Lonchura striata: one gene and its partners. Each later gene encodes a partner of the first gene's protein in a complex. Links are inferred from orthologs where the notes say so. Each region holds a gene or a part of one and is shown in the gene's direction. Other genes may lie near its edges. The genes, in order: SUPT16H, SSRP1 and MCM2.

Region 1 (7,302 bases):
CTAATTAGGCATTGAACTATTTTCCACGAGCAGCTCATTAACTCCCGGCTCTAATTAAGAACTGAACTATTCTCAATTACGAATTCACTAATTACCCATCCTAATTAGGAATTTATCTATTTTCAATTTCCAATTCCCTAATTACCCATTTTAACTCCCAATTTAACATTTTTCAATTTCCAATTCACTAATGACCCATCCTAATTAGGAACTGAACTATTTTCCACGGCCAGCTCATTAACTCCCGGCTCTAATTACTTTCCCCCCAGTGCCTGCCCGCCCCGCCCCCAGCCCTGGACCTCTCCAAGATGGCGGCGCTCATGGGGGGCGTGGCCCCGGCGGCGCTGGCCACGCCCCCTCACTTCCGGCCGGCGCCGGAAGAGGCGGCGGGGCAGACCGGAAGTGCTTGCTGCCCCCTGCTGGCCGACCCCATGCTGGCGCCCGCCTCGGACTCGGAGTAGCCCCGCCCCCTGATGAATATTTATAAATATGTAAAGTGTCTGTGTCGTGGGGCGGGGCCGGGGGCGGGGCTTCGGGGGTTGTTTTTTAATAAAAGGTTGGAAACGCAGCGGGGCGTGCTCTGGTGCCTAATTAAACGGTAATTAGCTGGACTGCTCGTTAGGTAACGGCGGCGGTAACCTCGTCATTAATGAGCCTCCTTATTAACCTCCTTGTTAATTAGCCTCCTCGTTAATTACCCTCCTCATTACCCTCCTTGTTAATTAACCTCCTCGTTAATTACCCTCCTCATTACCCTCCTTGTTAATTACTCTCCTCGTTAATTACCCTCCTAATTACCCTCCTCATTAATTACCCTCCTCATTACCCTCCTCGTTAATTACCCTCCTCGTTAATTACCCTCCTCATTAACCTCCTCGTTAATTACCCTCCTCGTTAATTCACCTCCTCATTACCCTCCTTGTTAATTACCCTCCTCATTAATTACCCTCCTCATTAACCTCGTCATTAATTAACCTCATTAACCTCCTCATTACCCTCCTCGTTAATTACCCTCCTCATTAATTACCCTCCTCATTACCCTCCTCGTTAATTACCCTCCTCATTAATTACCCTCCTCATTAACCTCTTCATTAATTCACCTCCTCATTACCCTCCTCGTTAATTACCCTCCTCGTTAATTACCCTCCTCATTAACCTCTTCATTAATTCACCTCCTCGTTAATTCACCTCCTCATTACCCTCCTTGTTAATTACCCTCCTCATTAATTACCCTCCTCATTACCCTCCTCGTTAATTACCCTCCTCGTTAATTACCCTCCTCATTAACCTCCTCGTTAATTAACCTCCTCATTAATTACCCTCCTCATTAACCTCTTCATTAATTCACCTCCTCGTTAATTCACCTCCTCATTACCCTCCTTGTTAATTACCCTCATTAATTACCCTCCTCATTAACCTCGTCATTAATTAACCTCATTAACCTCCTCATTACCCTCCTTGTTAATTACCCTCATTAATTACCCTCCTCATTACCCTCGTTAATTACCCTCCTCATTAATTACCCTCCTCATTAACCTCTTCATTAATTCACCTCCTCACTACCCTCCTTGTTAATTAACCTCCTCGTTAATTCACCTCCTCATTACCCTCCTTGTTAATTAACCTCCTCGTTAATTCACCTCCTCATTACCCTCCTTGTTAATTACCCTCCTCATTAACCACCTCATTACCCTTCTCATTACCCTCCTCGTTAATTAACCTCTTAATTAACTATCTCATTACCCTCCTCATTAATTAACCTCCTCATTACCCTCCTCATTAATGAACCGACTCATTACCCTCCTCGTTAATGAACCTCCTCATTACCCTCCTCATTAATTAACCTCCTAATTAACCTCCTCATTACCCTCATTAATTAACCTCCTCATTAACCTCATTACGTTTCTCATTAATCTCCCCATTAACCTCCTAATTACCCTCATCATTAATTAACTTCATTAACTTCCTCATTTCCCTCCTTATTACTCTCCTCATTAATTAACCTCCTCATTAATTACCCTCCTCATTACCCCCCTAATTAACCTCCTCATTCTTTAACCTCCTCATTACCCTCCTCATTAATTAACCTCTTTATTAACCTCCTCATTAATTAACCTCCTTATTAACCTCCTCATTACCCTTCTCATTAACCTCCTCATTAATTAAGCTCCTCATTACCCTTCTCATTAACCTCCTCATTAATTAATCTCCTCCCTGGCCTCCCTTCGTTTGTCCCGCCCCCCGATAGCCACCCCAATTAATTAATGAATTAATTGGTAATTAACGATCCCCGCTCTCACGTCTCCCCCTCAGGATTTTCCTGCTTTGTTTTTTTCTTGCTTTGGTTTTTAGTTTTTTTTTTCCGGTTTATTTTTTTGGGTTTTTTGGGGGTTTTGGGGTTTTTTATAAAATTTTTCAGAGTTTTTTTTGTTGGTTTTTTTTGTCCCAGTTTTTTGTGAGGTTTTTTTTTGGAGAGGGGGTTCAAGGTTTTTTTTGTTTGTTTGCTGGGGTTTTTTTGGGTTTTTTTGTAAATTTTTTTAGAGGGTTTTTTTTTCTTTTTTTTTGGCGTTTTTTCAGTTTTTTACGTTTTTTGGGGGTTTTTTAAATTTTTTTTTGTGGGTATTTTTTGGTGTTTTTCGGAGTTTTTAAAGAATTTTTTGGTGGTTTTTTTTTTTTGTTTTCTTTTTTAATTTTTTGGAGGGGTTTTGCTTTTTTTCCTTTTTTTGTTTTTGTTATTTTGGGTTTTTTTAAAGGTGTTTTTTTTGTTTGCTGGGGTTTTTTTTGGGGGGTGTTTTTTGTTAATTTTTTTCAGGCCTTTTTGTTTTTTCTCATCTTTCCACATTTCTTAAGGCTTTTTACATTTTTTCTCATCCTTTTAAATTTTCATAGTTTTTTTTTTTTTTCATTTTTTTTACTTCCTTGGGGTTTCTTAAAAACTTTTCTCGGGCTTTTTTCTTCCATTTTGTTTGGTTATTTTTTATTTGGTGTTTTTTGTTTTTCTTTTGTTTCTTTTTTGGGTTTTTTTTTTTCTTTTTTTCCTTTGGGTATTTTTTTCTGTTTTTTCTGTATTTTTGCCTCGTTTTGGTGCTCTCTGTCCTCTCCCCCTCCATCTCCCTCCCTCTCCCTATTTCCTTCTCCATCTCCCTCTCCATTTCTCTCCCTCTCCTCCTCCTCCATCTCCCATTTCCATCTCTCCCTGTCTCCATCTCCCTCTTCCCATCTCCATTTCCCTCCTTTCTCTCCCTCTCCATCTCCCTCCTCCTCCATCTCCCCCTCCATTTTCCTCTCTCCATCTCCCTCTCCCTCTCTCCTCCTCCCTCTCCATCTCCCTCTCTCCATTTCCTTTCCCCTCCCCTCCCTCCCTCTCCATTTCCTCTCCCTCTCCATTTCTCTCTCTGTCTCCATCTCCCTCATTTCCTTTCCCCTCCATCTCCCTCCCCATCTCCCTCTCCATTTCTCTCCCTCACTCTCTCCTCCTCCATCTCCCTCTCTCCCTCTCCATTTCTCTCTGTCTCCATCTCCCTCATTTCCTTTCCCCTCCATCTCCCTCCCCATCTCCCTCTCCATTTCTCTCCCTCACTCTCTCCTCCTCCATCTCCCTCTCTCCCTCTCCATTTCTCCCTCCCTTTCCTCTCCCTCTCCATTTCTGTCTCCATCTCCCTCTCCCCATTTCCTTTCCGCTCCTCTCCCTCCCCATCTCTCTCTCCCTCCCCATCTCTCTCTCCCTCCCCATCTCTCTCTCCCTCCCCATTTCTCTCCCTCTCCATTTCTCTCCCTCTCCATTTCTCTCCCTCTCCTCCATTTCTCCTCCTCCATTTCTCCCTCCCCATCACGTGACCCCTCTGGCCCCGCCCCTTTTCCCGCCTTTTCCCCTCCGCAGGCGCGAGGGGGGGGCGGTCACGTGACGCCGGCGCCCCGCGCTCCCCTTTTCCCGCCTCTCCGCCGTCACGTGACCCCCCGTTCCTTTTCCCCCCCCTCACCGATTTCACCCGCATTTGTTTGTTTTTTTGTTTGTTTTTTTGTGTGTTTTTTCCCCTTTCCCCCCATTTTCCTCCTCCTTTTTCTCATCCAAACTCCCCCTTTCCCCTCCCCGGCCGCTCTTTTCCCCTCCCTCACCGTCTCCTCCTCCGCCTCCCGCCCTTCGCGCGCGCACCGGAAGCGGAAGTCGCCTCAGGCGGCGCTTCCGGCGGGCGCCGCGGCGCGGCACGGGCGGCAGCGGCAGCGGCGGCGGCGGAGGAGGAGGAGGAGGAGGAGGAGGAGGAGGAGGCGGCCGAGCGGAGGAAGGTCCCGCCCCGCCCCGGCGGTTCCCCGCCCGGCTCCGGCGGGGCCGCGGCCGGGCCGCTGATGGCGCTGAGCCTGGACCGCGAGGCCTTCGCGCGGCGGCTGCGGCGGCTCTACGCCAGCTGGCAGGTGGGGGAGGGGCGGGGGGAGGGGGCTGGGGGGGGGTTGGGGGGAACTTGGGGGATTTCAGGGGGATTTGGGCGGTTTGAGGGGAATTTGGGGGGGTTTGAGGGGAACTTGGGGGATTTCAGGGGCTTTGAGAGAAATTTGGGGGGTTTGAGGGGAACTTGGGGGATTTCAGGGGGATTTGGGCGGTTTGAGGGGGTTTGGGGGGAACTTGGGGGGTTTGGGGGGGATTTGGGGTGGATTTGGGGGGTTTGGGGTAAATTTGGGGCGTTTGAGGGGGTTTGGGGGTAAATTTGGGGAGTTTGAGGGGGGGTTGAGGGAAACTTGGGGGATTTCAGGGGGATTTGGGGGGTTTGGGGTAAATTTGGGGGGGTTGAGGGAAATTTGGGGGATTTGAGGTGAATTTGGGGGCTTTGAGGGGGATTTGAGGGGAATTTGGGGGATTTCAGGGGGTTTGAGGGGAATTTGGGGGATTTGAGGGAAATTTGGGGGATTTGAGGGAAATTTGGGGGATTTGAGGGGGATTTGGGGTGGATTTGGGGGGTTTGGGGTAAATTTGGGGGGTTTGAGGGGGGGTTGAGGGAAATTTGGGGGATTTGAGGGAAATTTGGGAGATTTGAGGGGGTTTGAGGGAAACTTGGGGGGTTTGGGGTAAATTTGGGGGGTTTGGGGTAAATTTGGGGGATTTGGGTGGTTTGGGGTAAATTTGGGGGGCTTGAGGGGGATTTGGGATGAATTTGTGGGATTTGGGGGGTTTGAGGGGAATTTAGGGGGTTTGGGGTGAATTTGGGGGGTTTGGGGTAAATTTAGGGAGTTTGAGGTAAATTTGAGGGGGATTTTGTAGGTTTGGGGTAAATTTGGGGGGCCTGAGGGGGTTTGGGGGTTTTGGGGTGAATTTGGTTTAAATTTTTGGCAGTTTGAGGTGAATTTGGGGGTTTTGGGGTGAATTTGGAGGGGTTGAGGTGAATTCGGGGGATTTGGGGTGAATTTGGGGCATTTGAGGTAAATTTGGGGGGTTTAGGGAAATCTGGGGGGGCTGAGGGAATGTTGAGGGTTTGGAGTGAATTTGGGGTGAATTTTGTGGAATTTGGGGCTGCTGCAGGGGATTTTTGGGGGTGAATTTGGGGCTGGTGTAGGGGATTTTTTGGGGTGAAATTGGGTGAATTTGGAGCTCCTGTAGGGGATTTTTTTGGGTGGATTCAGGGTTCCTGCAGGGGATTTTTTGGGGTGAAATTGGGTGAATTTGGGGTTGCTGATGGAGGATATTTTGGGGTAAATTTGGGGTTTCTGCAGAGGAATTTTTGGGGTGAATTTGGGGCTGCTTCAGGGGAATTTTTTGGGTGAATTTGGGGGTGCCAATTGGGAATTTTTGGGGTGAATTTGGGTGATTTTGGGTCGCCTGCCCCCAGAAAGGCAAAGATGAGTTTGGCGGTGTCAGTGTTGGGGAAATTTTGGGGTAAATTTGGGGTAAATTCGGGGTTGTTGCAGGGATATTTTGGGGTGAATTTGGGGCTGCTGCAGGGGTGATTTTGGGGTGAATTTGGCTGATTTTGGGTCTCCTGCCCCACAGAAAGGCGAGGATGAGTTCGGCGGCGTCGACGCCATCGTGGTGGCCGTGGGCGTGGACGAGGAGATCGTCTACGCCAAGTCCACGGCGCTGCAGGTGGGCAAAAAAACAGAAAATAAACTAAAATCTGGGGGGAAAATCCTGAATTCTGGGAAAAAAACCCAAATCCTGAGGAAAAGCCCGAAATTCCTGAGAAAAACCCCAAAAATCTCAGTGTAAAATCCCAAAATCCTGGGAAAAAAACAAAATCATGAGGAAAAACTTGAAGTTCGTGAGGAAAACTCCAAAAATGTTGGTGAAAAATTTAAAAATCCTGAAATCTTGGGGAAAAAAACAAAATCGTGAGGAAAACCCCAAAATCTGTGTGAAAAATCCCGAAATTCTGGGAAAAAAACCAAAATCATGAGGAAAACCCCGAAATTCCTGAGAAAACCCCCAAAATCCCTTTTGGTTTCATTTTTGGGTACATTTTCTCATTTTTGGGCAAATTCTCCCAGTTTGGGCTGAATTTTATCATTTTTAGGGGCATCCCTTCATTTTTGGGAAAATTTTCTCAATTTTGGATGAATTTTCTCATTTTTTGGGATAAATCCCCCATTTTTTGGGTAAATCTCCCAATTTTAAAGTAAATCCCCCATTTTTGAGGTAAATCCCCCCAATTTTGGGATAAATCCCCCAATTTTGGGATAAATCCCCCATTTTTGGAGTAAATCCCCCATTTTTGGGGTAAAATCCTCCATTTTTGGGATAAATCCCCCCCATTTTGGGGTAAATCCCCCATTTTTGGGGTAAATTCCCCCATTTTAGGATAAATTTCCCCATTTTTGGCTGAATTCTCTCAGTTTTAGCTAGATTTCCTATTTTTGGGGTAAATCCCCCATTTTGGGGCAAATTTCCCCATTTTGGGGTAAATTCCCCCATTTTTGGGGTTTCTCTCCTGCTTTTGGGGACTTTCCCATCATTTTTGTCTGGTTCCTTTCGGGGTTTTCCTCATAAATTTTGGGGATTTTTGTTAATTTTGGGGTTTCTTGGTTCCTTTTTGGGGTTTTTTGTTCCTTTTTGGTTTTTTTTTGTTCCTTTTTGGGTTTTTTTGTTCCTTTTTGGGGTTTCTTGGTTCCATTTTGGGTTTTTTGTTCCTTTTTGGGGTTTTCATGATCCATTTTTGGGTTTCTTTGTCCCTTTTTGGTTTTTTTTGTCCATTTTGGGGTGTCCTTGATCCATTTTGAGGTTTTTTTGTTCCTTTTGGGGTTTTCCTGGTCCATTTTGGGGTTTCTTTTCTTCTTTTTGGGTTTTTTTGGTCTCTTTTGGGGTTTCTTTGTCTCTTTTTG
Region 2 (6,902 bases), on another chromosome or scaffold:
ATCTGGCATGCCTGCAGTAACATGGGGTCATGGGGACACAGGGACATGGGGACAGGAGCCATGCCAGGCAGTGCACATGCCTGTGCCGTGTCCTGGCCATACCTGAAGTTGTATCCAGGGGCAGGGGTCCGGGCCAGGCTGTCCAGGCGGGTGAAGGAGTAGTGGGGCAGGCAGCGCTCCCAGGCCCGGTCCAGGTCACACACCCACCCGATCTTGATTCCCAGCACCCCCCCCTGCCCCAGCCCCACATCAGCACCACGGACCCTGGCCCCGCGGCACCAAGTCCCCACAGTTTCACAGTTCTGCATCCCATGGCCCTATGCTCCATGTCCTATGAGCCCACATCCCGCATTCTCGTCTCCCCAAACTCCACATCCCCCTGCACCTCATGTCTCAAATCTCCATGTCTGTACACCCCATGTCCCAGTGTCACACATCCCAACCCCCATCCATGTTCCTGTGTCAAAGCCCCACATCATCACTCAGTGTCCCGTTTTCCCGTATCCCTATGTCCTGTTCCCAACATCCCTCATCCCTGCATCCCATGTCCCCATGTTATGCGAGCCCATGTCCCCATCTTCCATGTCCACATCCATCACCCCATATTCCCCCCATCCTATGTCCCCATGTCCCACATCCCATGTGGGATGTGTCCCCAAGTCCCATGTCCTCAAGTCCCACATCCCATGTCTCTGTGTCCCCAGCCCCCATATCCCTATGCCCTTATATCCCAGCTGCTTGTACCCCTATGTCCCCACACACACCCCATTCCCACCCCGTGCCTCCCATGTCCCCTGTGTCCCCGCTCACGGTGGCAGCCAGCGCAGGGAAGTCCTGCCCAGCCAGACGTGCCACGTCCCCCAGGCGCAGGATGGGGCACAGGGGCTGCAGCTGTGGGTGGAAGCGACACCGGCCCAGCTCCACCCCACTGCCAGGGGGTGGCAGGTTGGTCCTGGGGACACAGGGGGACACAGGGGACACGCAGGGATGTGCCATCAGGCAGCAGTCTGGGGTTCATGGACCCACATCCCAATGTCCCCCCACCATCTTGTGCCTGTGTCCTCATGTCCCCTGTCCCCATGTCCCTGTGTTACCCCATCCCTTGTCCTCATGTCCTGCCGTGTTCCCCCTGTGTCTTGTGCCACTCACTTCTCAAAGCCAAAGAGCGGGAAGCGGACGCTGTTCTTGATGAGGAGGGTGAAGTTCTCAGCTTCCAGCATGACGGGGCTAGAGGAGGGGGGTGATGCTGAAGACAGGCAGGGGCCATGTCCCCTGCTCCTCCCCGTGTCCCCCCAGCCCCACTTACACATCAACGGTGTCCACCTCGGGCGGGCACCAGCCCTGGATCTCGCAGGTGCGCAGGGTCGTGTTGTAGGGGACGCAGCGCCCTGTCAGCACCCCTGGGACCCCCGGACTGCTGTCAGCACCTCTGCCAGCACCCCCGAGATCCCAGACCCCCATCAGCACCCCTGGGACCCCCAGACTGCTGTCAGCACCCCTGGGACCCCCGGACCCCCATTGGCACTCCTGGGACCCTGAACCCCCGGCTTCCCGGGCCCCCCTCAGCCCCTTGAGCCCACCGAGGGTCCCTCACTCCTGGTGGTGGCTCCCCCCGGTCCCTCGGCCCCCTCAGCCCCCGTTCCCACCGGGGTCCCTCACCGTTGCTCGTGGCCGGGCTCAGCTCCCGGCAGTCCCGGTCCGCCGAGCAGTGGAACGCGGCTTCGCTCTGCGGGGCGGGGGTCAGCGGACAGGGGGCTCATCGAGGGGTCCCCCCGAGCGCCCCCTGCCCCTCCGCACCTCCGGGCACACGCCCTGCGCCTGGTCCTCGGTCCGGATCTGCTTGGTGACCACCACGAACACCGAGGTGCCCTGCGGGACGTCGCTGTCACACGACCCGCCCGGGGGTGGGGAACTGAGGCGGGGGTGGCCCCGCGCCCCTCAGCGACCCCTCCGGTCCCCGTCCTCACCTGGGGGGGTGTGACATAGTCGGCTGTGTCCATCACCTGCCCCGCGTAGCGACCCACGCCCTTCACCTTGGTGACCACGGAGGACTCGATGGCGGTGTCCCGCACCTGGTACGCTTTCTCATGGAGGAACACCCAGCTGGGACAGCACCGCGGGTGACGCTGGGGACAGCCATCCCCGGACACCACCGGCACCCCCCGGGCCCCGCCGGCCTCCCCCGGCACCCCCCGGACCTGCCCGTGACCCCCGGCCCCCGGAGCTGTCAGCGCCAGCGGCTGCCGATCCCCGACAGATTCTTGTCATCCCCTCGCCAGTGGCTGCTGTCACTCCTCGGGAGCATCCAGGGACAGGGACCCCAACGCGGGTCATCCCCTTCTGTCATCCCCTGGGGCCGAGCGGCTTCTCTGCCGCTCGGTGTCACCCACACTGTCCCTTTCCCGTCATCCACCCGAGATGCTGTCCCCCTTGTGTCACCCGTAACGACACCTTGCTGTCCCCATCATGTCACCTGCGCTGCCACCCTCCCGTCACCCGCACCGGCACGCTCTCTGGCTGTCCCCCTTCTGTCACCCGCACCGATATCCTCTGTCCCGCCTTGTCAGCCGGTACACTCCCCTGGCTGTCCCCATCGTGTCACCCGCTCCGGCACACCTGAATTCCCGGCACTGACACTTTGTCACCCGCTCTCCCGTCCGTCCCCTGCTCCATCACCCCCTGGCCACCCCGTCACCCCGCGCCGCCGGCCGGTGTCCCCTCGCTGTGACCCCGCTGCCACACGCCGCCATCCCCCATCACCCTTGTCACCCCCGGTGTCACCTGCAGCAGCAAGTGGCAGTCACGGCGCTGCCGCGGTGCCGGGAAGGGGGCTCGGGGTTGTGTCCCGGGGGACGTGCCGGGGCGGGGTGTCCCAGGGGTGCCCGCCGGTTGTCCCGGCGGCTGCCAGGGGGGCTCACCCGATGAAGTAGGCGAGGATGAGGAGCTGGACGCCGCGGTTGACGACGCCCACCACCCAGCTCTTCACCACCACCGACTTGGTGGTCTCGTAGGAGAAGAAGTTGCTCACCCAGCGGGTGCTGGACCGCGGGAGGGACATGGGCAGCGCGGGGGGCGGCCGGAGACGGGGTTACGGGCAGGGCAAGGCAGGGCTGCGGGCAGGGCAAGGCAGGCAGGGCTGCGGGAACCCAGTGGGATGCGGGAAGGGCAGGGCAGGGGTGCGGGCAGTGAGGGGGATGCGGGCAGGGCAGGGCGCGCTTGGGTGCAGGCAGGGGTACCGGCAGGGGCACGGGCAGGGTGCGGGTATCGGCAGGGTGTAGGCAGCACCCGCAGGGGTGCGGGTAGCGAGGGCGGTGCGGGCGGGCGGAGGCGGGGGTAGGGCGGGGGCCGGGGGCGGGGGCACGGCCCGGGGGGACGGGAGGGGTCGCTCCCCCGTTCCTGGAGGGATGGAGGGGCGCAGGCGGGGACATTCCCCGGGGTGCCTGTGATGGGGAGCGCCAAAGGGGGGACACATTCCGGCAGCGGGGAGCCCCACATTGGGGTGCACGTGGGTGGTGCGCCCCAAACTGGGAACGCCTGGTTTGGGGGGGACACCCCTGCAGAGGGGAGTGCGAGGGGGCGGCCCGTGCGCGGGTTCCGGGGGTGCCCCGCTCTGGGCCGCCCCATTGTCCGGTTCCGACACTTTGGGGCGCCCCGGCTTTGGGGCGGGGGGGTTGTCCCCACATGAGGTGACGTCACGGGGCTCGCCCCGTGCTGGCCAATGGGGTCTCTCCCCACGCCTGGTTCTGGGCGGGGCAAAGCGGCGAGGGGCGGGGTCTCGGACGCGGTGACCACGCCCCCTAGGTGGGCGGGGCCGCCCGCGGCGCGGCGGGGAGCGCCGCACGGGTCCGCCCCGCCGCCAGGGGGCGCCAGCGCGGCCCGGCGCCATGGCGGAAACCCGCGCGACTTCCGGCGTTGGCGGCCCCGCGCGGTTCGCGCTGCGCAGGCGGGAAAAGCGGCGGCGGCGGCGGCGGCGCGGGGGGGCCGGGTGGGTGTACCGGGGCTCGGGGCCGGCCGGATCCCGCGGGGGGCCGGGTGGGTGTACCGGGGCTCGGGGCCGGCTGGGGCACCCGGAGTCATGGCAGGCCGGCTGGGATGGGGGAGCGGCCTGGGGTGGAAGTGGGCTGGGGGTCGCTGGGGAGGCCCGGGAACGCCTGGGAGCCCCGGCTCGGCAGGAGTTTGTGGGTGCGGGGGTGGTTTGGGGTGGCCTCATCAGGGAGGGGAAGGGCAGGGGTGATGACACAGCGGTGGCCGAGGGCTGCAGGAAGGGGCGGCTTTGGGACCACGGCACAGCCGGGGAAGGGGCGAGTTGTGCCGGGGGTCGCCCCCGTCAGTGAGCCAGGTGCCACCACGAGAGGCAGCCTGCGGGGCTGAGGCGGTGAGGTTTGGTTTTGGGGGCGCTGGGGAGGGCCGGGAGCCTGTCGCCAGCCCGGCTCACCCCCTGTCCTCCCGCAGCTGCCGTGACTGACTCCTCTGCCGTTGCCCCGGGCATGCCGGGCTCGGGGGGCTGCTGAACCCCCCGACTCATCCCCGTCCCCTCCCATAGCCCGCAGCCGCCATGGCTGATACGCTGGAGTTCAACGAGATCTACCAGGAGGTGAAGGGCTCCATGGTAAGCGAGAGAACATGGGGATGGCCCTAGGGGCACTTCCAGCGTTGGGTGTGGATGGGGGAAGTGAATGCTCTGTGATGAGGAGGGTGTGGGAGATGAAATTGTGGCTGGTTGGTGGTGTGGGTGCCTGGAGGGGCGCACCCAACAGGGCCATGGTTCCTCTATGCTTCCATGGGACTGAGTCCCCTCATGCCCAGCTCTCCCACAGAATGATGGGCGGCTGCGGCTGAGCCGGCAGGGCGTCATCTTCAAGAACAGCAAGACAGGGAAGGTGGACAACATCCAGGCCTCAGAGCTGGCTGAGGGTGTGTGGCGGCGCGTGGCACTGGGCCACGGCCTCAAGCTGCTCACCAAGAACGGCCACGTCTACAAGTATGACGGGTTCCGGGAGTCGGTGAGTCCCTGTTCCCTGCTCCTGCTGCCCTGGCCCTGTTCCAGATCCAGTTGTGCTCCCTGCCAGCCCCAGAACAGCCCTGCCCCCTGCATCCCCATGGCCAGGGGCTGTGTGTCACCTGGGGCACTGGGCACTGCTGGTTCCTGACGGTGTTGCCTCCCTCTTGCCCAACCCAGGAATTTGACAAGCTGTCAGATTTCTTCAAGGCCCACTATTGCCTGGAGCTCGCAGAGAAGGATCTGTGTGTGAAGGGCTGGAACTGGGGCACAGTGAGGTTTGGAGGTGAGTTCCAGTGGCACCCCAAAGGCGTGGGGTGGGATGTTCCCACCAGTGTGTGGCTGTTCTGCTGCCACATCCATTCCCTTAGGAGCAGCTGCTTTCTAGGGATGTCCTCAGGGAAAGTGAGGACATTTGCCATCTCAGGAGAGCCCTGAATACCAGGGGGCCATGCTTGGTGTGGAATCTGCACATGTGTGCCGTTCACCAGGGAGCCAGGGGAGCTGGCGGATGTGCCTCCAGCTAAGGGACCGGGACAGATGGGGTCAGACAGTTCCTTTTTTTGTGTTTCTGATCGGTGCCAATTTCCAGGGATGCTGCTGGAAGGGAGAAAGCCTGGAGCTTTTGGAGGGTGGGAATGCAGTGATGAGAACAGAGGCACTGCTGGATTTTGGGAGAGGAGCGAGGCCGTGGCTGGAGATGGGATTTGTGGGGCACAGCTCTGGGCTGGCTGTGATGTCCCTGTCCCCACAGGGCAGCTGCTGTCCTTCGACATCGGGGAGCAGCCGGTGTTCGAGATCCCGCTCAGCAACGTGTCCCAGTGCACCACAGGCAAGAACGAGGTGACGCTGGAGTTCCACCAGAACGATGACGCCGAGGTCTCACTCATGGAGGTCCGGTTCTACGTGCCCCCCACCCAGGAGGATGGTGTGGACCCCGTGGAGGTACGTGGGGCCGGCAGGAGGGTGGGGGTTGGCAGCGAGGGACCCTTTGTGACCGCTTCCCTGGCAGGCCTTCGCCCAGAACGTGCTGTCCAAGGCGGACGTGATCCAGGCCACCGGAGACGCCATCTGCATCTTCCGGGAGCTGCAGTGTCTGACGCCGCGCGGGCGCTACGACATCCGCATCTACCCCACCTTCCTGCACCTGCACGGCAAGACCTTCGACTACAAGATCCCCTACACCACCGTGCTGCGCCTCTTCCTGCTCCCGCACAAGGACCAGCGCCAGATGTTCTTCGTGGTGAGTGGGAATGGCTCAGCCCTCCCCCAGAAGGGCATTGGGGGTGGTTTGGGGGGTTTCGTGTCTTCACCTCCTCTTCTCTTTCCAGATCAGCCTGGACCCCCCGATAAAGCAAGGCCAGACCCGCTACCACTTCCTGATCCTGCTCTTCTCCAAGGATGAGGACATCTCCCTGACCCTCAACATGAATGAGTGAGCTGCCTGATGCCACACTGCTTCCCAGACCCCTTGCTGGATCCTGAGGGAGCTACTTACACCCCAGACCCTGTTCTCACCTCTGCCCTCCTTCCCGCCTCACAGGGAGGAGGTGGAGAAGCGCTTTGAGGGGCGGCTCACCAAGAACATGTCCGGGTCCCTCTACGAGATGGTCAGCCGGGTGATGAAGGCACTGGTGAACCGCAAGATCACCGTGCCCGGAAACTTCCAGGGGTGAGCAGCTGCAGGGCTAGTCCCTCTCTTTCCACCTCGTCCTCATGGCCTGAGGGAAGGGGCTGTCTGTGTGATTTGTGCTGGGGAGCAGGGCCAGTCTGCCAGGGCTGGGCACGGGGAGGATGTTTGTCCCCATGGATAGAAGCGTTTGTCCTGCAGACACTCCGGAGCCCAGTGCATCACCTGCTCCTACAAGGCCAGCTCAGGGCTGTTGTACCCGCTGGAGAGGGG
Region 3 (7,045 bases), on another chromosome or scaffold:
GGCGGGACTAAGGGGGCGGGTCCGCCGCGCTTTAAAGGCGCCTTGTCCCGCACACACCCGCGGGTCACCAGCCCGGCGTGGAGCGGTGGCGGCGGGCAGGGAGGCGACCCTGGGGCCGGCGGTCTCGGCTCGGCCCGTGCAGGGCAGGTTCTGTCCTTCCAGCCCGATCCCAGCCCCGGCCCGGCTCGGTTCGGCTCTGTCCTTCCAGCCCGATCCCAGCCCGGCTCGGCCCGCACAGCCCAGCATCCCACCCGACGAGGAGCGCTCTGCCGCCCTGCTCCCACCGCCACGCTCCTAAACTCACACTGCTCCGCGGGAATTCCGTACGGCCGCTGGATGCAGGGCAGGGCGGTTAATCATTGAGGGAGATCCGATAATAAGTTCCTGCAGGGAGGGATGATTAACAACCTGTGAGTTCGGCTTTTAAGGAGAGTTCAAAGCTGGCTGAAGAAACTTGAAGTAGCTTGGACAACAGCTGCTAAAGGGAAACGCCATCGATAATTAGCAGGATTTTGAGGTGCAAATGCCAGACAGGCTAAAGAGACGCTCAGTATCGTAAACAAGGAAGTAACTGTGGCAAAACAGCCAAGATTTATTTAGGAAATTAAAGGAAATAACCAGCTAAGCACCGGCACGTTATTCTCAGCAGTAAGAGCTGGCGGACAGGGAAGTTTCAAGGAGGATGTTTCTTATCCGAGTCACTGCAAGGACTGGAGTTCTGAAACTCATTCTGGCATGAGTTTCTACCTGTGGCTGTAGGGTTTGCTTCTGTAGGAATGCAAGGCTTTTGCTACCCTGAAGTTTCTGTTCAGAGCCTACAACTCTTTACAAGAGCCCTACCTTGGTGAAGTTTGCATGTTCTGCTCTAGCAAACACCGTAACCAGAGGGTTCCAGGCCCTCCTCACACACAGATAGATCTTCCTCAGCTTAAATCTGCTTGATCCTCTTCTTAGGTCAAATTTTCCAGCTGCTCCTCAGCAAGCCTCATGAAGGGTTTGTACCTGGGGACTTGCCTGCCTCAGCCCTGTTCTTCTGATTTTCCACTGGGTTGGAACAGGTTTTCATGCTGGTGTCATGCCTTTGGAATGACATCTGGAGAAGCCAGTCCTTAGCTTGTCTCATTTCACACTGTCGTTCAGGTTAATGATATGTTGCAATATTTTGACACGTTCCATTTATGGATCCAAGCTGACACCAAGATCTCTGAGTTACAGAAAGGACAATTCTGTTTAGAGAGAGGTGGAGTGTTTCTGCCTAAAAAGTGTCTTGGTAACAGACAAGTAAAATCCATGTCTTCTCACTTGTAGCCTCAGGCACTAACTAGTTGAATGTGTTACCTCCCACATAACTGTGTCAGAAGGAGAGATTTTGCTTTCCAATCCACCTGCTTTTCCCATCTGATTCCATCTGAGGCTAGAGCCCAGTATTTGGGACACCAGATCCAAAAGCTGTTTCATGGTCAGGAGACTGCTGGGTGCCACTGCAAGGACCATGACACTTTAGCTCCTGCCTTCCTCACCTTGCTTCTGTCAAACAGGAGGTGGGGCATCCACACTTACTGTTCCTCTGAATTACCCAGCCTTGCCTGTCAGCCACCACATGGTGTGGCAAACATAACTCCCCTCTTCCCCCCTCCAAGGACTGCTCCATGTCCTTAACTCTATGCATCCTTCCTTCCATTCCAGCTGAGCACTGCTGCTCTGTGCATCATCTCCTCCATCCAGTGCTTAAAGACAGCAGGGGTCACTCCTTTGTCCTCGCTGTGCCACCTGGTGCTGCTGGGCTGAAGCAGGACAAGAGGTGATGTTCAGCAGCCTTGAAACAACCCTGGGGGCCCCACAGAAAGCTGGCACCTGTTGCTGTACCTGCTGCAGCCTGCTGTGCTGTGGCAGTCTCACCTGCCTTGCAGGCATCAGAGGTAGAAGATGCAGACATGGTGTCCAGGACAGCATTACAGTCCATGTAGTCAACAAATTCCACTCTTCTGAGACATTTTATCTCTCTCAAATACTCTTTCAGCTTTTATTAGATCAGACTACTGAACAGGATATTACTTCTCATCTGAAACTGCTGTGCTGTACAGGTGCTGTACAGGGACAGATGTGCCTGTCTTGTTTCAGAGCTGTTCTACCAGCCTACTGATTTCTAGTGTTGGGCATAAATTTGCACCACAGGATACTACCTGGACTGCACTCCTGTGTTTCTGCCCCTTTTCTTTCAAGGGGAATTCATTCACTAGGGCTATTCCTGTGCTGCAAGAAGCCACGAGTCTGCAAAATCCTAGTGGTATGTTTGGATATTCAAGAGTTTGGTACTCAGGTGAGGTCACCCCAGTGAGCAGCCTGGGCCCCATCTGCATCTCAGCCCTTTCACATACCCAGTCCATGTCTCTAGTGTAGTAGAAGGAGCCCTGTTCCATACATGGCAGCAACCTGATTTTAGGGGTGGTTTCTGCTGCCCAAGCTCAGCTCTTGTCAAAGAGACAGAGCACCCCAGCTCAAGAATAGGACCACTTGTAGGTGGCACCCAAAGTTAGCCGTGAAAACATGGACGTGGTGTGTGTTCTTCCAGGAAGGACAGACAGAAAATCTGTCTGTCTATCCAGCTGTCTGGTGCCTGGAGAGACAGTGGCACCCTGTGGTGACACTGGCTCATCACAGTGTGTCATCTGGGCCTTGTCAGACAGCTCCACCTCAGCCAGGTCTCGGGCTACCTTCCCTTAAGCCATAGAATCATTTGGGTTGGAAGACTGGACATTAGGAAAGAATTCTTCATTGGAATGGTGCTCAAGCATTGAATAGGCTTCCCAATGAGGTGGTGGATTCGCTGTCCCTGGAAGTGTTCCAAAACCATGGAGATGTGATGTTTAGAGACATGTTTTAGTGGTGGACTTGGCAGGGCTGGATTAACAGCTGGACTCCATGACCTTGAGGATCTTTTCCAACCTTCATGGTTCTGTGATTTTGTGACCTCTAAGATCATCAAGCCCACGGTGGTCTCTGGAAACCTACAAGTGGGGGCATCCTGGGGGTGTCTCTGTGTTTGTTTCGCTCCAAGCACCAGCCAGATCCCTGTCATGTGTCACAGAGAAGAGGCTGAGCCACTCTCCTATTTATATCATGATGCTCCTGCTTTGCTATATTAGTACCAGCCTGAATCATCCAGCTGGGCTCCTGGAAGATCCATTTCAGATTGTCAGCTGCCTCTTCAGTCACTTTTGCTTCTGGTGTCTCCTGTTTCAGGGTCATTGTCTCACACCCGAGTCCAGCCAAGAGCAGAAATAGCTTGATACTAAACAGTGGTCAGAGACCCTTCAGAGAATGCAGATCTCCAAAATCCAAACCACCTGCTGTCACGCAAGACCCTGTGGCCTGGAAGGAAGCATTCCATCTCCTTGCTAAACATCAGCCTGTTGCTTGTCTCTCTAAATTCCTCTGCCAATCTCTATGGGACGGGTGCTCTTCTTCAGTTCCTCTCATTAATGGCATTTGCTTGCTGCACTGAACAGCTGGAGAGACAGATGTGTCTGCCCTGTTACTTCCAGCACATAGAGGCTTGCATTAAAAAAAAAAAAAAAAAAAAAAATTAAAAACCAAACAGATAAACAAACCCACCCCCCCAAAACCACAAAATGCCAGAACCTCCTTCCCACGTCTTGTAGTTCCAGCGAGAATCAGAACAAAGATGATTGAACGGGTCAGTGGCAAACCCTGTCCAGCAAGGCTTGATTTTAGCTCCCAAAGAGGCAGCCGTGAGCACGGGAATTCACGGCGGGATCTCTCCCGTCACTCGGGTTCGCGGGAGGAGGAGATCCCTCAAGCCCAGAGGGAAATGTTTGCCAAAGTTTGCCAGTGCCGCCCGAGCCCCCTTGGTCGCTGTGGGTGGCGGGGGGTGGCGCTGGGTCCCGCCCCCGCTCATGCATATTCACAATCAGGCCCGCCCCTGTATCCATTATTCATGAGGTTTCGCGCGCTTTCGGGACCACGTGGTTTGGTTTTCGCGCGGAATCGGCGGCGCGGGAAGCGGCGGCCATGGCGGTGAGTGGCCGTGCCGGGCCGGGCCGAGCTGGGCTAGGCTAGGCTAGGCTAGGGGAGGGGAGCCGTTCATTTGGGGTGCAGCCCCGCGGTGCGGGGCTCGGGTTCTCCCCGCTGCCGGACACTTGGCGCTGCGGCTGTGCGGGGTCCAGAGAGGATTTTGAGTGGGGGGGCACAGTGGGGGCGCGCCTGGCGGTTCTCCCGAAACGCCGAGGGAATTTTCCTGCATGCCCGGCGCCGCAGAGGAGAGAGCCGGGGCGGGGCAGGGTCGGACCCTTTCACTCCAGTCCGGCTGCGCTGCGAGGATGGATTTACCCCCATCTCTCCCCCCCACACACAAATATGTTTCCATATTGCGAGGAGGGCTAATTATTATAACTCACGGTGATCCATATGGCAGAGGCCCCTGGAGGCACTAGCCCCGCTCTCTCCTGCGGCCCCCTGCCCTCACCTCCCTGCCGTCCTTGCAGGACTCCTCCGAGTCGCAGGCAGCGGTGACCAGCCCCGTGCGCAGCTCCCGCCGCGGCGATGCCTTCACGTCCAGCCCCGGTCGGGACCTGCCCCCCTTCGAGGATGAGTCCGAAGGGCTCCTGGGGACCGAGGGGCTCCCCGAGGAGGAGGAAGAAGGAGAAGAGCTCATTGGGGAAGGGATGGAAAGGTAAGAAAATCGTTCGGAGGGTTGTGTCCGGTGATGGGGTGCTGGGGATGGCAGTGCAGCCAGCGACCTGGAGGGAGATCTCAGGCCTTGTGGGATCCTCTGCTGTGCTGGCAGCTGTGGGGAGGGTGCTGAAGAGCTGCTGGGCAATGGAGAAAGGTAAGAGTATAATGTCACTTGAGTTCTGTGAGAACTGAGCAAAGTGCCATCATGGTCCCGGGTGGGTAAACCAGGATCTGCCTGGATGTGTGATGTGCATTCAGCCCAGCTCTTTGCTTCTGCAGGTGTGAATTTTGATGTTTTACTCAGCAAGGTCTGCCGGCAAGCTGAACTTTACCAAAGGCTTGGATGCTGACATTCCTAAGCATGGTGCTGGAGCCCGTTTACTGCAGGGCATCTTCCACTGGGAAGTGCCTTCCTGCTCAGCAGCGTTCTGTCATGCTGCAGAACAGCTGTCCTGACACCTGCCCAGGAGTAGCTGGAGAAGGGCTGCAGAATTGCTTTCCTGGCCTGATTCCCTGCTCTGTGTGTGTGTGTGCTAGGGACTATCGCCCCATCCCAGAGCTGGATGTGTACGAAGCAGAGGGCCTGGCCCTGGACGATGAAGATGTGGAGGAGCTGACTGCCAGCCAGCGGGAAGCTGCCGAGCGAGTGATGAGGCAGCGGGACCGAGAGCTGGGGCAGGGCATGGGCCGCATGAGGAGAGGGCTGCTCTACGGTAGGTGCAGGGAGCTGTACCTTCCTGTGTGCCTGATAGTAACCTGGCCCTCAGAGGGAGCTGGGCTCTCTACTCTCAGGTTAGTAGGGAGGTCTCTAGAGCTCCAGTGTGCCTGGGCTCTTAATGAAATCACTGGCTGTGGGCTTGCCTGGGTTCTCCAGTGCAGGATCCCTTTCCTTTGGGTTTCCTAGGAGCTCATTTGGTGTCCTTCTGGTCACTGCTGAAACAAATTTAGGATCTTGGGCCTGTGTCAAAGGGTTGGGATTCTACCAAGCTGTGCGGTAGAGTTTGTTGGTGTTGATGCTCCTGTACAGACTTCTGTGGGCTGATGGAAGTGTCTTCGATGCACTTTCAAACTCATTCCTTGGTCAGTGCATTAATAGACTTGAATGTGTGCTGTTGCATACAAATCTTCAAATTCACACCCTTAAAGTCTTGGCTATCTTGTGGAAGATGTAGGAGCAAGTCTAGAACTGGATTTAGGCTGGACCTGGAATGTCTCTTGGTTTGTGAGGCTGTGACCTCTTCACTTCCACAGCCTATACAGTCCCACTGTGACTAATCCATAGAGTGGGAATGGGAATCCCAGCTCTTGAGCAGTTTTTCCTCTCACCCCTTAGACAGTGATGATGAGGATGAAGACCGTCCTGCACGGAAGAGGCGGCTGGCGGAGCGTGCTGCCGAAGGCGTGGAAGAGGAGGATGAGGACATGATTGAGAGCATTGAGAACCTGGAGGACATGAAAGGGCACTCAGTGAGGGAGTGGGTTTCCATGGCAGCGCCCCGGCTTGAGATCTATCACCGCTTCAAGAACTTCCTGAAGACCCACGTGGACGACCATGGGCACAATGTCTTCAAGGAGAGGATCAGTGACATGTGCAAAGGTAGGGCTGGGTCATTGGAGGCTCTCTCTTTCTTTATGTGGGTCATGGTACTTTGTGGTGATCCAGTACAGAGGTGGATATTTTGCTGCTCTCTTTGTTCCAGACATTGAATCAGCATTTCAAGAAAGCTTGATGCTGATGGAGATAAATGAATAATGGAAACATGTCTACTGTCTTCTTTGATTCTGGCTGACTAATTAGAAGTCCCCTGGCATCTGCTCCTCATTAATATTCATTTCGTAGAAATGCTAGCAGAAGAATATGCGGGGCAGCAGACAGTGGTCTGCAAGTTTGTGATCTGAAAGAGACAACAATTGCTTGCTGTCTGCATCAGTTACTTTCTCACACTGGAAACTGCATTATCCAGCAAGGGGACACAAATAGACCTTGTGACTTTGGAAACTGTGTCAGTGTTGCAGCCTTGTATTCTGACTAGGCACTGCCAGAAGAAACGGTCATTAAGGCTGTCATTGATGAGTTTTAAAAGCAGAATTTGTCACATCTAGGAACAGCTCATGTAGCTGTACTTGTTGTATTTCTTCTTTATATTGAACAGAAGCTTGAGCAGTGGAACAGGATCAATTTTGTAAAGCTAGGAAATAAAAGGCATTTGTCTCATCCATTTCCACAAACATAAGACACAGGAGGTTTTTTGCCAACCATTCAGCATACATAATGTCTCTCCTATTAACTTCTGTTTCCTGGAGGTCTCTGAGAGAGTTGTGTATTGGGCTGAGGCTTTTGAATTTCGGG

Evidence for each region.
Region 2: SUPT16H (region 1) and SSRP1 share a complex: the UniProt entries of both Homo sapiens proteins name them as parts of the FACT complex. The link is inferred for Lonchura striata from reciprocal best matches to the Homo sapiens genes SUPT16H and SSRP1.
Region 3: the proteins of SUPT16H (region 1) and MCM2 are in contact, whole or in part, in a crystal structure (PDB 8YJF), measured with the Homo sapiens proteins. The link is inferred for Lonchura striata from reciprocal best matches to the Homo sapiens genes SUPT16H and MCM2. Residues at the interface, in NP_009123.1 of Homo sapiens: Gln898, Ser899, Leu900, Asn901, Lys904; in NP_004517.2 of Homo sapiens: Ile73, Gly74, Asp75, Met77, Tyr81.

What each region holds. Positions count from the first base shown.
Region 1 is NC_134641.1:1,210,527-1,217,828, reverse strand, and holds the start of SUPT16H (FACT complex subunit SPT16), read left to right. Parts: upstream 1-4,294; 5' UTR 4,295-4,344; coding exon 4,345-4,410; intron 4,411-5,977; coding exon 5,978-6,070; intron 6,071-7,302. Other genes in the region: chromodomain-helicase-DNA-binding protein 8, read left to right, coding at 270-461. UniProt on the Homo sapiens protein: Component of the FACT complex, a general chromatin factor that acts to reorganize nucleosomes. The FACT complex is involved in multiple processes that require DNA as a template such as mRNA elongation, DNA replication and DNA repair.
Region 2 is NC_134608.1:53,181,436-53,188,337, reverse strand, and holds the start of SSRP1 (FACT complex subunit SSRP1), read left to right. Parts: upstream 1-3,899; 5' UTR 3,900-3,985; intron 3,986-4,452; 5' UTR 4,453-4,555; coding exon 4,556-4,609; intron 4,610-4,817; coding exon 4,818-5,003; intron 5,004-5,179; coding exon 5,180-5,285; intron 5,286-5,753; coding exon 5,754-5,944; intron 5,945-6,011; coding exon 6,012-6,242; intron 6,243-6,330; coding exon 6,331-6,434; intron 6,435-6,542; coding exon 6,543-6,671; intron 6,672-6,830; coding exon 6,831-6,902. Other genes in the region: P2RX3 (P2X purinoceptor 3), read right to left, coding at 1-11, 103-233, 811-952, 1,150-1,227, 1,307-1,400, 1,660-1,726, 1,798-1,869, 1,968-2,103 and 1 more. UniProt on the Homo sapiens protein: Component of the FACT complex, a general chromatin factor that acts to reorganize nucleosomes. The FACT complex is involved in multiple processes that require DNA as a template such as mRNA elongation, DNA replication and DNA repair.
Region 3 is NC_134614.1:13,489,402-13,496,446, reverse strand, and holds the start of MCM2 (DNA replication licensing factor MCM2), read left to right. Parts: upstream 1-3,983; 5' UTR 3,984-4,032; coding exon 4,033-4,038; intron 4,039-4,505; coding exon 4,506-4,693; intron 4,694-5,232; coding exon 5,233-5,408; intron 5,409-6,028; coding exon 6,029-6,292; intron 6,293-7,045. UniProt on the Homo sapiens protein: Acts as a component of the MCM2-7 complex (MCM complex) which is the replicative helicase essential for 'once per cell cycle' DNA replication initiation and elongation in eukaryotic cells.